Xenopus tropicalis: one gene and its partner. The protein of the gene in region 2 purifies or fractionates together with the protein of the main gene of each other region. This does not show direct contact. Links are inferred from orthologs where the notes say so. Each region holds a gene or a part of one and is shown on either strand. Other genes may lie near its edges.

Region 1 (3,658 bases), on a different chromosome or scaffold from region 2:
GACAGCTGTATAAAGAAGAGGCTGTGCTATCATTTATTCCTGTCCCTCTAGATTCAGTGACAACATTTTGTCAATCTGGACAGACCCTGCTTGGGTTTGTCCAACTATTTTGTTAAAGCCATATTTTAGTTTTGCCATAAAGAAGAAACTCGAAAAATCGGATTGGAAACGAACATTTTGCGATTTTTTCGTGAATTGTCGCAAATTGTTGCAACTTTTTCGTAGCCGTTACGACTTTCGCGAGTTGTCGCAACTTTTTCGTATTGAGCGCTTTCGTACTCGGCACGAGAGTACGATTTTTTCGCGACGGAAAAGTCGCGACGGCGACAAAAAAAATCTCAAAATACAGATCATTACAAATTAGTAAATTTGCCCCTAGGAGTTAAATCCTTGTGTACATGCTCCCTCACTGAACAAGTTTTGGGAGGGCATGAAGTGTGCTGTTAACAGTGTTCCAAAACTGCTCAGTTACTGCTACCACTCAAAAATATAGAATCAGATTTCATGGATAATTTTGTCCCTAACAACTGCTGCTAGGGGAGACCTACAGGGTCTGAAACATTTTTAGAAGAGGGATCAGCATTAAAAGGTATCTACTTATATGGGAAGGCACTGTATGCCTTTAAAGAATAAGTAAACCTTTTTTTTTTTTTTTTTAATCTAAATTTACTCTAAAATTACTCTGTTTAGCCCCCAGAATAACATACCTTTTTTCCCTGCATCCAGAATTACTTTGTCTCTCTATTACAAGCAGATGAGCTGCATCTCTTTTACCGGCTTCCTTGTCTAGTGTGAAGCCCCGCCCCTTTTGCTTTATGAGTCCCCCTTTCTCTCTCTCCGACTATGATGACCTAATAGAGGTGCCTACTCTGCATGCCTGATGTGTTTGTCAGCTCCATAGTACTTTGCTCACCTTCTCATGCCACTGCAACAAGACAGCACTGCTGTTGTCAGACGGACTCTCAAAGCCCTTGTAGATGTATTTCATTAAGAGGTCCATGTTATTTTTGTCTAAAGATTGAACAGCCTTTTCTATGTCATTAGCTTTAAAGGAGATTAGAACTTTCAGCACCAGGTGCTCAGCTCGATCCTAAGTAAAAAGCAATGATAAAGTCAATGTCCATACTCCAAAATTTAAAATAAAGAGTTAGAAAATTGTAAAACTGTATTGGAAAACTTGCTGGTATGACCAACTGAGTAGTGGCTGATTATTGGTACAGAATGCATTAAGTGCAGCAAAATAAGTTTGGCTGAAAGTAAGATATGAATATAATTTATAAAATAGTGTGGCAATAAAACTATTGGCAGGAGGAACAAAAAGCAAAGAGGAAGTAAGCACTGACTGATGTATATTCTGTACCCAATACGCCACTTTATAACTACCTTATTTATCCTTCAGCAAATAATAAGCAAATGAATAACAATTTGTTTCCTGTTGTATTTTACTAGAAGCATATTACCTTGGCAGACTGATTCTTGGTATTAATTGGTGGGTTCTTTAGAGCAGCTTGCAGAGCTCCCATCATGTTTCCTGTAGCAAGCTGTTAAGGGAATAACGTACTGACACAAAAGAAATGCCATACAATAATTACAGAACAATTTCAGTTGATGCTTTATATTCACAGATCCCTATATGGCCCTGGCCTAATATTAGCATAAATCTGAAAAAGCCTACTGTGCATATATATGGAAATATGGTCTGAATTGAAAATGTGTTAAAACTAATGAAAAAAATATAGATCTGGGACAAAAGTGTAAAAAAAGCCAACCAAGCAGAAGTTCCCATGCTTCCTGATGACTGAGACTGAGCCACTTCCTGCATTCCTAAACCTGAAGCAAGACCAAGCTTGCCTCACAAAAACATATAGCTTGTACTATAACACCACAACGACCAATAACTGCTACAGAACCATCAAGGTGTGTTTAACTGTGTGCTCAACCTGTGTGTAACTTGGCTCAAAGTCCACTATTGTATTATCCACCCTTGGAAACACCGATAAGAAAGCATGTAAATGTATGTGATTTCAAACAGAGAGAGAGTGAGAAAGAAAGTGTTTTTGTTTAGATAGACAGAGAAAAAGAAACAAAATGCACAGGATAAAGTGACTGACACTCCCACAGCCTCACAGCAAGTTCCTCTTTGTAGGAAAAGGAGATTAACTACTGACATTTCCTACACAGCAGAGCCTCTATATACGGTTTGCAAGTATTTTGCTTGCCATAGATCCTTTAGGTATGTAATATGGAGTCAGTGTGCAAACTGGAGTTGGTATGCACAGCTTCTGCATATCCACACATAGCAAATGACAAGGTGCATAGACAAAAGCAAATGTGTATTGACTCCAGTTTGAAAGCTTATTAGGCTACCATATCAGGACTATGCCAGTTTATTCTAGTAGATATTCCTGAAACCTTAGCTTGGAGATCAAACAAAGAGAAGGGTGTAGGGGGAAGTATAGGCTTTGCAAGATGAAGATGAGTACAAAGCATGACAGGAATAGTGGAAACAGTGGCAGTCAGCCCTCTCCATGTGACACCGCACACCTTCAGCATGTTAGCACTATGACACGGTACAGCCCATATGTCAGGCGATTAGGAGCATGTCTGTTCATACAAAGGTACAATGCCAGGCCCTGCCAGCACAGACAACATACAAGGATATCCCCGAATCGCGCTATCAACCTCCCCCTCGTCGGGTCCTTGCTGTCCTTCTCCCGCCTCCTCTTCGTCAACGAATTTGTTCTCATCATATTCATCCACATCTACTTTCCGGAAGCGTGCAGACACCGTATTCTTCGCCATCCCGAACCGGAGACTCTGTGCTGCTGGCAGGGAGCGGTCGTACTCAATGCGCAGGCGCAGCGGCTTCCGCTTTTATTCTCGGCTTCCGGAGACTGTCAGAGCGCTAGTTTTGCTGGTGTGGTTACCTCTGCCGGGATTAAGGCAGTATCAAAGCGTTCAGTCTATTCTGTGGGCTTTACCCAGGCGGGACACTCAGGCTGGGCCCGTGGGTAGTACATTTACCTGGGCGGTGGAGGTGTCAGGGGATAATCAGTTTGGTGTTTTCCAGTGACCTGACCTGTTGCATGGTAAAAAAAACTGTGGCATGGCTTGCTGGACTGCTTTTGTACAGAAAAAAAGGATTTTCTGGCAAAGTCCTCACCGTTTTGTGGGTTTCACGCAGTGCAGGACGGGTGTTTATATAAATCCAGACTAAATAAATAAAGTTAGGTATTGTAAGTGTATTGAGTGCATTTTGTGGAAGTCTGTGTTGCTGCATATGCTGATGGAATATGTGTATTTCCAATAGCATGTTTTATATAATATCCTGTGGTTGTCATCCCCTTAATTCAATGTTCCAATAGTTTATGTAATGGTACTATAGCAATGGCTTGTTGTCAGATCTTGTTATAATGTTAGTGTTTAATATAAAATAGTTTTTGCTTGTTCTACCCCCTCCCCCTTTTCCTTCTGAGCCTCCTCCATTCCTTGGGGCTGTTGCCTCGAGAGGAAACTTTGTCGATTTCAGCGCCGCGTATGGCATCCCACTGGCGATTTACATTCTAGCCGGTGGGATGGCATTTTGGGAAGATTAGTCGCCTGCACCAAGGTAGATTTGTCGCATGGCGACTAATCTCCCCGTCTGTCACAGCCCTTA
Region 2 (3,656 bases):
CCTGCCAAATAAAAAAAGATAATGTCTATATAGCGTAGCCAAACTAGAACATGTTGCCAAAACCTCTCATTTCCATAGACAAACTCATCCTCATACCAAGCCATGAATAAATTTGCATAGGCCGGAGCTACATTAGAGCCCATTGATGTACCCTGGCTCTGTTCAAAAAATTTTTCTTCAAAGACAAAATAGTTTTTAGTCAATACCATTCTCAAAAACTTCAGCAGCATTGTTGGTACCCCACTAGGTAGGTCAAGTTTATCGAGCACCCCTTGTATCACATCCATACCCTGTTCATGTGGGATAGATGTATACAAGGAAGCCACATCCATTGTACATAGCCAGACTCCCTCATCTAGCCCCTGGACAGTATTTAATTTATTGATAAAGTCAGTGCTATCCTTCACATAGGATTTAGTACCTACCATCACCGGATTAAGTACACTATCCAGTAGCATCGCAATCGGTTGAAAAATGGATGATACTCCTGCAACTATAGGTCGGCCAGGGGGATTCTGAAGATTTTTGTGTATTTTCGGAAGAAGATAAAATGCTGGGAAATCAACAGTCAAATAATCATATAGTTTCTTTGTAATTAAGCCATCATTCAAGCATTCCTTCAGGTATTCATCTAGCACCTGTTTCAACACATTCGTTGGATCCTTATTCAAACGCTTATAGTGTTTAATTTCCCAGTTGTAGCCATACTTCCTTTCTATATGCTTCCGCATCCATTACTACAATGGCTCCCCCCTTGTCCGTAGGTTTTATCACAATGGTTTTATCGGAACTTAAAGTCTCTAAGGCTTCTTTTTCAGATTTCTCAAGATTGATACCTGCCGGCAGGAGGTGCCATTTCAGTTTTTCCACATCCTTCCCTATTCTAGCCCTGAGTGCACTCTATTACTTTAAATACTGTATGAAAATAGCAGAGCTGAAAAAAGAGTTTGAAGGTGTACAACCCCTTTAAAGTGCTAGAGTTTGTCAGCTGCCATTTTTTATAAATAATTTTTGGGTTGCAGAACATGCTTTCTCTTATTGTATAATATTTGGTCATAATGCTATTACCCAGTTATCCTAATGTATAAAGCAGTGGAAATGTCAGAATTTTGGGAACAGCACATGTGCAGTTGAGCGAAAAATGCCAGCTTTGTTTGTTAGTCATTTTTCACTCTACTGTGCATGTGTGAAGACCGAAGCAGGAAAAATCGCTAGCTCACATACATCCCTAGCCGGTGCAGTTTTCTCCTAACAGGAGCACCAACCAGGGGTTTCAGGTAAGAGATTACAATCACTAGGGGGTGCCTAACATTTTGGACCCCCCCCCCCCTAGTGATTTAACCTTTCCTTCTCCTTTTAACTTTATTCCCCTGCCCCCTTTCAAAACAAAGCAATTTTCTGCTACCTATATTATAGAAGTTTGTTCTTTCATAAAAGCATTAAAAACAACCTTTGATTTTCCTAGGCATTGACTGGGCTCCTAAAAGCGATCGTATAGTAACATGTGGTGCTGACCGTAATGCATATGTTTGGAGCCAAAAGGATGGTGTATGGAAGCCAACATTGGTGATTCTACGCATTAACCGTGCAGCTACCTTTGTAAAGTGGTCTCCGCTAGAAAATAAGTTTGCAGTGGGAAGCGGAGCAAGACTCATATCTGTGTGCTACTTTGAATCTGAAAATGACTGGTAAGTTATTCTTCCTCATTACACTAACAATATGTAGAGTTACCCGACTAAGGAACCTGGAAATCTTACCTTCGAGCAACATGCTCTCAACATGTTGCTTACCAACCCCTTGGATGTTGCTCCCAGTAGCCTTAAAGCTTGTGCTCATTATAAAAATGTCTGACTTGAAAGCATGTTTTGGAAGCATAGACACCATGTGTACTGCCAGACAAAGACTCTTGTAGTCTGCCAGTCCACATTGGGCTACAAAATAGCCAATCATAGCTCTTATTGGGTATCCCTTAAGAGAACTGTTTTCCAACTTATTTATTTTTAAATTGTTCTCAGAGGTTAAGAAGGTTGGGCCTGCCTGACGTATATGTTGGTGCAGTGCTGAAAAGTACTCTAGTCTGGTGCATTTTTGATTGTTTGGGTGCTTAACAACTTGCCATCTTACATTCTTTCATGAAGGTGTTGCAGTATGCAAGATTTACCAATTGGTGCTTCACATGTTTCTGACTTACGTCATTGATCATAATAATTAGCTTATTAGTGTTATGGTCATTCTGTTTTTTTGGTATTCCACTCTAGCAATCAAGTTATGAAACTGTTTGTTTTATGTAAATGTGGTTAAAAACAAAACTATACAATTTTTATAAATGTAGTCAATAATAAATTAAAGAAGAAATTACAGAATATTGTTTTGGTTTCTACTTTTTTTTTTTTTTTCAATTCTGTGTGGCAGCTTTTTGGATAGCTACGACCCATAATCCTTTATGTTCCAGCAAAATATCACATTTAATTTTCATTTTACATTTTATTCTCATCTTTTCTTCTGGAAAAATGTATTTACCCAGTAAACCTATGTATTTTTTTAAAGGCTTTGTAAATCTCCCTGATTGTTTTTTCTGTGTAATTGTACTTCTGTATCAAGATAATGAACTCAAAGATACAAATCTTTTGGAATGTTTTTTTTTTTTTTTTTTTTAACCCTTTTACTGCCAGCCATTTTGGTCAAAGCGGAACTTGTATTGCCAGACAGTTTTTGAACATTTTGCACTGTTTCACTTTAGGGGCCTTTCCTCGGGGGGACTTTTAGTTTACCAAGGAAAACAATATATCGTTTTTTTCAGAACAACCTAAGCTTTCAAAATATGGTAGAATTTTTGTGTAATTCCAATTCTGTAACAAGATATAGGCTTCTAAATGTCTAAAAATGCAAAAAAAATCAAATTTTCCATAATATAATCACACATACTAGAAACAAAAATTATTTTATGCATGAATATACAACTGATTTGGAAAGTCCCATGTCTCCTGAACGTGCCAATACCAAATATATATAGTTTTATGGAGATTTCTCACTTGTATAGGTCAAAAACTCCCAGCAGTACACTACCAAATTCCCAAAGCACTGCTCCAAAAAAACTGCATACTTTGGATTTCAAGGCCAAAATTCCACTAACAGAAGGTTTATCCCAGAAAATTGTACATTTTTGGAAAGAACAGATTCTGGGGAATACAGAATAGGCACAACTGTCTGTCTACTCCAAACTATCAAGTCGCAATGCTTTCCTAAAGTTATTGGTTTTTATCAAAATTTGTGATTTTTTTTAAAAATCGCTTCAAAGCTTCTAGTCTATAGTATCTTATCTCCTACAGGTCATAAAGTAACCAAATAAAACACCCCAAATATGAATGCCTGGGGTCCACTGAACAGTTTGATGCCCAATATGTATAGGTTTACCTAAGTATGTGGCATGTAGGGGCCCGAATGTGAACATACCCCATATGAACTGTCATTTCTGTCATTTCAGCTTCTGCAAAATCAACACATTTACATCATTATATGTGAGATAAAGCTACAAAAAAGTACGCTCACCCCAGAAAGCCATATATTTTTGGAAAGTACACATTCCCCCGAATCTAAAATGGGTACCCATGTCTTTCTACTCCAAAGTACCAAGCCGCACAGCTTTTCTAAAGTTA

The links. Proteins that work in one complex are often made in the same cells at the same time.
Region 1: the proteins of arpc1a (region 2) and arpc5 fractionate together in Homo sapiens (co-fractionation; 8 studies listed by BioGRID and IntAct, counting the BioPlex papers as one, with this or other methods). This does not show direct contact. The link is inferred for Xenopus tropicalis from reciprocal best matches to the Homo sapiens genes ARPC1A and ARPC5.

What each region holds. Positions count from the first base shown.
Region 1 is NC_030680.2:99,903,641-99,907,298, reverse strand, and holds the start of arpc5 (actin-related protein 2/3 complex subunit 5), read right to left. Parts: upstream 2,830-3,658; 5' UTR 2,803-2,829; coding exon 2,663-2,802; intron 1,534-2,662; coding exon 1,461-1,533; intron 1,091-1,460; coding exon 914-1,090; intron 1-913. UniProt on the Homo sapiens protein: Component of the Arp2/3 complex, a multiprotein complex that mediates actin polymerization upon stimulation by nucleation-promoting factor (NPF).
Region 2 is NC_030685.2:41,716,784-41,720,439, forward strand, and holds part of arpc1a (actin-related protein 2/3 complex subunit 1A), read left to right. Parts: intron 1-1,465; coding exon 1,466-1,688; intron 1,689-3,656. UniProt on the Homo sapiens protein: Probably functions as a component of the Arp2/3 complex which is involved in regulation of actin polymerization and together with an activating nucleation-promoting factor (NPF) mediates the formation of branched actin networks.